Arabidopsis thaliana: one gene and its partner. The main gene of each other region encodes a partner of the protein of the gene in region 2 in a complex. Each region holds a gene or a part of one and is shown on either strand. Other genes may lie near its edges. The genes, in order: PSAF and psaJ. A codon is read from its position in the direction of its gene.

Region 1 (4,142 bases), on a different chromosome or scaffold from region 2:
TGTGGTCTTGCTAGTCAATAATGCTCTCTTTCTGCTACTGCAATTTCCTCTTCCTTTTTTGGGAAATTTCGGGATTATTATATATTAAATTTAGGGGTAGGATATGAAAATGCTCTGTTTTGACTACAGAGTGAAATTATTAACATGATATAGATACATAAAAATACTAAATATATTTATATATTATAAATCTCTCTCTATATATTTATTAGTATTTGTAACTTTGTAATTCCGGGGTATTTGGGATTTGGTGTATGTGTAGGACCTTTGGATCATGATCCGGTAGGGTTATTTTGATCATTTCCAACCGAGGAGGGATCTTTGTTATTGACCTAATGTAAATTTGTGAGATATATTATTTATCTATATCTATATACAATTATGATCATGTAACCCATGGTGTGTGCTTGACTCTGTGAGCATATTATCGTGTAATGGTCATCTTTGATACTAGCTAAGTCTAGCTTAGCAATTAGCACTAAGCACTTGTATGGGCCTGAATTTTTATTATGCAAACTTATGGCCCATTTGTCTTTATTTTTTGGTTTCCTTGCAAACATTTGCCATTTGATAGTCGCTGATAGAATCGCTCGCATATGAAGGAAACAGAAAGACCGGACCGGAGCATGTGCTTGTGGTAAGAAATTTACAGTGAGCTTAAGAAGAAACACAAGTAATTTAGTCTATTATAGTTCAAGAGCTTCTCCTGCATTCATGCAAATGCAAGAGTGGTAAAATAGCATTATACTAAGTAAATTTGGTTATGCTCCTGTGCGTTATATCAGGATATTCCCTTCAAGCAATTGAGCTTCACATAGCAATCACTAGACCGCAAAATCACAATCTGTCAATCACCATTTTAGCCATAATTCTTTCTACTTGCGCAATCCAAATTTTATAAGGTTTTCGACAATGCATTGTTTTTCAATAAGTACAATGGAAAACAAAGAGATTAGAGAGAGTAACACAAAAGCAGAAAACAAGTTCCCTTTTTAAACATCCTTAGCAATGAGATCACCATTGAGAAACTCTCTGTAGGCAGCAACGGGCCAAATGAAACCACGGAAGATGATCCGACTAGCCAAAGGAACATCGATGATGATCTCTTTCATCGCGGGTTTCTTCTCACCACTAATAGCTATTAAGTAGCTTCTTCCAACCCACCCGATCCATCCAGCAATGTAGAGGAAAAGAATCCCTGGAGTAATGAACTCTCCCCAATGCCGCTGGTCTCCGTTCACTATCAAGTGCGGTAAACCGTCTGACCCGCATAACAATCCGTACTTCCCGTAGTTGTCGAACCTAACATACATTCATAAGCACATCAACTTCAAACCAATCCACAGTTCCACAAGCTCCTCAATAGATCATATCAATGATCAAATTTAACATGTCTAGCAACTTCGAAAACTCACTAACTCACCAAAAAAATCATACTAAAGCAATGGATCTAGCAAGTAATTCACTAAAACAGAGAAAAACTCTGTTTCAGAACAGAGGAAAGCTCTGTTTCAGAACAGAGAAAAAGCTCTGGTTTAACGAAGAAATAGAAATGGAAGACGAACCTGCGTTTGGTTTTCTCGATCTGAGCATTGAGAGCAAGAGCAGGGGCAGATTCAGGAGCGTAGAGCTTAAGAGAAGATTCAAGCTTCTTGATCTGTTGCTTCTCTCTTTTAGCGAACTGTTTTGAGTCCTTGCAAGGAGTCAAACCTGAGATATCAGCGACAGCTGGCATAGGAGCAGAGAGGAGGATGGAAGAGAGGGCGACGGCGGCGGAGAAAGCTTTCATGGATTGAGGTGTGGAGGAGGAGGATTTGTCATCGGAGCAGACGAATCTTGCGGAGGATTTAGGTACGGATTGAGTGAGAGATTTGTTAGATCTCGGGTTGAGAACGAGATTCGCCGGGATAGTGAGCGACATGGCGCTTTGTCGGGTTCTTTGGAGATTTCGAATTCTAGGGTTCTGGAGTTTTGGGTGAAGTGTGGAGAGAAGACTTATGGGAGGAGCTTTAGATTCTTGAGGGGATTAGTGGAGGGAGAGGAAGATAAGAGAAGTGGTCTTGGGGTGATGAGGTGGCGTGTTGTGATTGGTTGATAAGTAACATGTCACTGGATAAGAGATTTTGCCGCGGATTTTAATAGTTTTGTCATTTTGATGTTCAAGATATGTGGACTACACACGACTTATCTTTTATTTATTTTTAATATCTATACATATTATATATACACTGAAAATAATCATATATATATATATATGTAGCAAAAAAAAAAAGAGATGTAGTTTTTTAGTCCTGATTAGTTTTTTTTTTGGCAAATAGTCCTGATTAGTAAGACTGCAAAATTGAGTCTTTTATTGGTTAACCACATAATAAGAAAATGGGATCATGAGTTTGCAATATCAAAGAATTAAATCTATATATGACCAAAATAAACATTAGCAGAATTACAACTCCTTCTACCATTCCGCCGGAAGGAGGCTACATTTTTTGTAATGTTTGTTTGAAATGCTTCACAGATATCTTCTGATAAGATCTCTTGATCTGTCTCTGAAGTCTCAACACCTTAATTAGGGTTTCATCTCTTAAGATATGCTTTTCTTTAAAGTTTTACCATTTTTTCAATGTATTAACTGTCTATTTCCTGGCAGAAGAAACAAATTTCTTCACATTTACCCATATATATATTGTTTATAGCAAAAATATTTCGTCTTTTTTTTTTTGGTCTAATTATATCCGAGAGGAGAATTTGGTTGTGTTACCACATCATACTTTGAAGTTTGAACTCGTTGAATTAATAACACGCAGTTCTGATATATATTATTCTTTTGTGAAAGAAGTTCTGATATATTTCTAGATGTTTTTTTTCCTTTTTTTTCTTTTCTAGATGTTTCTTATAGAATAATCAATGTGTAAACCATTACTAGCTTTCTTATTTACATCAAAGAGATAGGAAAATACACAAATAAAGAAGGAAATTCATCCCAAGAAAACTAAAGACAATCAAAAGATTACAAGTTACAACAATTCACAATAAGTCAAACAAAAGCATCTTCCAATAGAGACAAGCAAGACAGACAAAGAAGAGAAAATGAAGGAAAATCAGACGTTGTGAGAATTGTCGGGCTTGGCGTGTGGAGACAACGGCGGAGAGGAGGCGGCGATAGCACCGGGAGGCGGAGCTGGAGCTCCATACACCTGAGGATTTGTACGGATCTCACGACGGCCGCGAGATTTTCCGAGGAAGTAGCAGCCAAATCCGAGAAGTAGACAGAAGAAAATTAGAGGCAGAGATATGACCACAACCAAACCCATCGATCTTGACTCTTGAGATCTATGTTCAATCTTCTTTCTGATTGATTTTTATTCTTGGACTCTTGTTCTTGCTTTGATTCTACTTCACATGTATTTATATGTATGAGTTTGTGGGAGGCTCTGGAAGGATCCGATTCTGTCCGCAACGTTTATGTCTTGTAAAGCTTTAAAGCTTAACGTTTAAATCTCAACGGTCATCTTTTTTTTTGGTCGGCCCATCCATACGATTTCTTCTAGTTTTTATAATCACATTAGTCATGTCTCATGTGCTTTTCTGGCTATGAAAGTATAGAGAATCAAACTCAAGTTGACAAGTTAAGTTACTTAGAAAATTAAAGTAAAAATTGTTAAATGTGATGGACACTCATTGGATTTGACGATTTGTAACCACTATTTCATTGTAATGCAAATAAATATGGGACTATTGATGGACTCATGCAACCAGCAATCTCAATCGGCCTGGTCCGATCTTACACATAGCTCGATCCTATTTTCACATGTCTAGCCTCTTTCTTGAATGAAAGATATTCATCATAAATAGCTAAATCCCAAATAAATATGTTAAAGTACGATTCGATGTTAAACAAAACAAAATGATTCGATATTTAACAGATTATTGGTAAAATGATCCAAACCCAGTGAAACAGCATAATATTCAAAGTATCATATCCAAATTGCAATCACTTTTTTCCCATGAACTCCAACAAGCCATACAAAGAGAAAAAGATATCTTCAAGAGTTACTTCTCAGAGAAGACCAAAACCACCCCTAAGGGCAAGAACCAGATGAAGAACAGAGCCTCCCTCTATGTTGTAGTCCTTTGCCGTTTTG
Region 2 (2,951 bases):
CTTTCTTAATATCATTTCGAACACAACTGGTACATTCCAAAATAATTGTTACTCGAACATCTTTACCCTTGGCCATGAAACCTCCTTTGGATTTATGATTCACCTCAATCTTCTATTTTAATTTTAGGATCCAGAAAGAACAAGAACAAAAAAAATAGAAGCTGTTAACTAAAAAAAATTCTGAAATATTTCGTTACAATTAATATTTTATTTATTAGTAATTAAATAAAAAAAATAAGTAATACAATGATTTATGATTTTGTGAAAACTATATTTAAAATCTTTGTACAGTAGTTTTTTTAAGTATCTGATAGGTTCCCTAGCAACACTTTTTTTCGTTCTATTACTAATTTCATTGGATCCTGAACCCTCGTTTTTATGACCTTTCCCCCCCCCCCCCACCTTTTCTAATTTATTCTACTAATTAGAAAAGGTGGGGGGGTTAGTCCCCGATTGTTGATTGTATCTCTAAATTTTTCACCCCTTTCTGATGTTAATAACTAGAATGAAAAAAAGGGAAATGTTAATGCATCTGGAAATAAACGATTAATCTCTATTAATAAACCTGCTAACGAACCGAACCATAGAGTACTTAGTACCGGTGCTACGGAAAGATATGTTTTTAGATCTCGCATTAGAAATCCTCCTTCTTTCTTCTTTATTGTATTACATTATATATAGTAATATATATAATTACAGATGTACATGTAATTAAGAAGTTCTTGTATTTGTATATGTAACTTCCGTCCCCCCGCTTTCAAAATTAGAATTTTAATATTGTCGACTAGAACGATCTTATCGATTCCATTTGAAAACGTAAAGGCCTATTTATGTAAAATTGAGAGAATAAAAAAAAAAAAAAAAGTAAATTTTTTAATTATATCTTTGTTATCTGATATGAGAAAAAAAGAAGAAATGAATTTGATATACCAATAAAAAAGAAGGAGGATGTGGAAAACAAGACAGGAATTCTCTACAATGACACTGTAAACCTATTGAAAGGGATGTAGCGCAGCTTGGTAGCGCGTTTGTTTTGGGTACAAAATGTCACGGGTTCAAATCCTGTCATCCCTACCTATTACTGCTCAGAAGAGCAGTAACGAGGTATCTATTTTGATCAATTTTTTTTATCGGACATACATTTAATTCTGAAATTTATGATATACTATGTATGATATAGTATATACGTACAAAATCGAGTCGGGTTAAAGAATGCCCTCTTTCTAGCCTTTTCGTTTTTTAGAAAAAAAAAAAAAGAAAAACGCTCTTAGTTCAGTTCGGTAGAACGTGGGTCTCCAAAACCCAATGTCGTAGGTTCAAATCCTACAGAGCGTGATTTCATAGATTGTATCAAAATTCCACTGTTCACAAATTACTGAGCAGCAGTCTGAATTAGACCTCCCGCATAGGAAAGCAAGAAGGAGGTTAGTAAAAAAACGAGATGTTAATTAATTAAAAGTCCAACTGATCACCACGTCTGTATTGTAAATAAGCAGTTACGAATAATCCAGCCAAAGTAATAGGAATTAGACCTAAGACGATTCCAAATAAAAAAACTTCAATCATTTGAATTTTCTTTTGTTTTCATTTTTGAAAGGGAGAAAAGAGAGGTACTATCTATTCCTAGCTCTTAATCTGTATTGCCAATGAATCTCAATGACCAAAATTTGGTAATTAACACGGTAAGGAACTATCGAACATATTAATAAATACCAACGAAATCCTTTTTTATAAAAAAATCTGCATTCAATTAATTTCAAATAAGTCGTATTTTGCTTAGACCAATAAACAGAACTGAGGTTATAGTTAAAGCTGCTAGTAGAAAACCGAAATAACTAGTTATAGTAGGCATGAAGGGACTCAATAAAATATGTTTTTTTATACATATGTTTCTTAAAGTACTTCCCTAAGTTTCAATTGAAATTTTTTTTAAGAAATAGAGAAAGATAACTAGTTCCAAGAATTAAAAAAATTCAATTGAAAATTTGTGAATTATCAATCATTATAGGTGGTATGAAAAAAAATAGAGAAAGATAAAAAGAACTCAATTCATCGTCTTTGGCATCTGCACTATCTCAGGAGTCAGAATTAACGTAACTTATTAATTGAAAAACTCTTTAAGAAATTAATCATAAAAAAAAATAATACATAAAAAAAATAACTCTATTATCTAACTTCAGTCAAAACATATAACTTTTTTTGAATGAATATGTAAAAATTTGAAAATAAGTTGTTTGATTCTTTTTTTTTATTGACCTTAGAACCTAGAATACGCCTCTTTCTACTTTATTAAAATTGAATTTACTAAAATTTAAACTCATTAGATTAAATTAAATAGTAGAGCAGTTTTCTTCATTTAATCTATCGAATGAGACTAAAAAGAAAAGAGGTATCCTACACGGAGAACGAGATTAGTAAAAAAAAAGATTTATTTATTTTAACTAGATTTTAAACGATAACTAGATTTTTAAAACTTGTAATTAGCAATTTCTATTATCGTTTCCTTTCGAGGTTTTAGGTTTTTTTCTTTCGAGATTATATAGAAAATAGAGTGAAAAACCCATCACCCTTGTAGTTAGTTAAAGAAAGAAAAAAACCTTTGAATTGTGAATTGAATACAACAAAACAATGCACGCATTACAAATATTTAGTCTTTTTTTATTATTTTTATTTGTTGTTCTTTTTAATTGATCCAATCCAATCCAAAACTATTGTTCTTTTTCTTGTTTCTGCAAATTAATTCCTTAAAATGAAACAAAAAGTAAAAGGGGGGATCACATTATCATAAAAAAATCTATTCTACAATTATGCATATGCAATGAAAATGAAATTTATAAATTTTTCATTCAATTAACTTGGGACCATATGAAAATTTGCTTCATGAATTATTAGAATTAGAAACCAACTTCTTGGATTTTCATTTTATCTAATCTTTAGTTTATTTTCTAGTC

Evidence for each region.
Region 1: the proteins of psaJ (region 2) and PSAF are in contact, whole or in part, in a cryo-EM structure (PDB 7WFE), measured with the Arabidopsis thaliana proteins. Residues at the interface, in NP_051079.1 of Arabidopsis thaliana: Thr6 (codon at 620), Ser9 (codon at 611), Val10 (codon at 608), Ala11 (codon at 605), Leu14 (codon at 596), Trp18 (codon at 584), Pro34 (codon at 536), Asp35 (codon at 533), Ala36 (codon at 530), Leu37 (codon at 527), Thr38 (codon at 524), Phe39 (codon at 521), Pro40 (codon at 518), Phe42 (codon at 512); in NP_174418.1 of Arabidopsis thaliana: Lys115 (codon at 1,579), Arg119 (codon at 1,567), Tyr123 (codon at 1,292), Tyr126 (codon at 1,283), Leu128 (codon at 1,277), Pro136 (codon at 1,253), Leu138 (codon at 1,247), Gly148 (codon at 1,217), Glu149 (codon at 1,214), Thr152 (codon at 1,205), Pro153 (codon at 1,202), Leu156 (codon at 1,193), Glu185 (codon at 1,106), Ile186 (codon at 1,103), Ile187 (codon at 1,100), Ile188 (codon at 1,097), Val190 (codon at 1,091), Ile197 (codon at 1,070).

What each region holds. Positions count from the first base shown.
Region 1 is NC_003070.9:11,214,019-11,218,160, forward strand, and holds PSAF (photosystem I subunit F), read right to left. Parts: upstream 2,124-4,142; 5' UTR 1,922-2,123; coding exon 1,566-1,921; intron 1,303-1,565; coding exon 993-1,302; 3' UTR 658-992; downstream 1-657. Other genes in the region: LBD4 (LOB domain-containing protein 4), read left to right, coding at 1-14; AT1G31335 (uncharacterized protein), read right to left, coding at 3,099-3,311; RUB1 (uncharacterized protein), read right to left, coding at 4,058-4,142. UniProt on the Arabidopsis thaliana protein: Participates in efficiency of electron transfer from plastocyanin to P700 (or cytochrome c553 in algae and cyanobacteria). This plastocyanin-docking protein contributes to the specific association of plastocyanin to PSI.
Region 2 is NC_000932.1:64,613-67,563, reverse strand, and holds psaJ (photosystem I subunit IX), read right to left. Parts: upstream 636-2,951; coding exon 501-635; downstream 1-500. Other genes in the region: rpl33 (ribosomal protein L33), read right to left, coding at 1-76; petG (cytochrome b6/f complex subunit V), read right to left, coding at 1,453-1,566; petL (cytochrome b6/f complex subunit VI), read right to left, coding at 1,757-1,852. UniProt on the Arabidopsis thaliana protein: May help in the organization of the PsaE and PsaF subunits.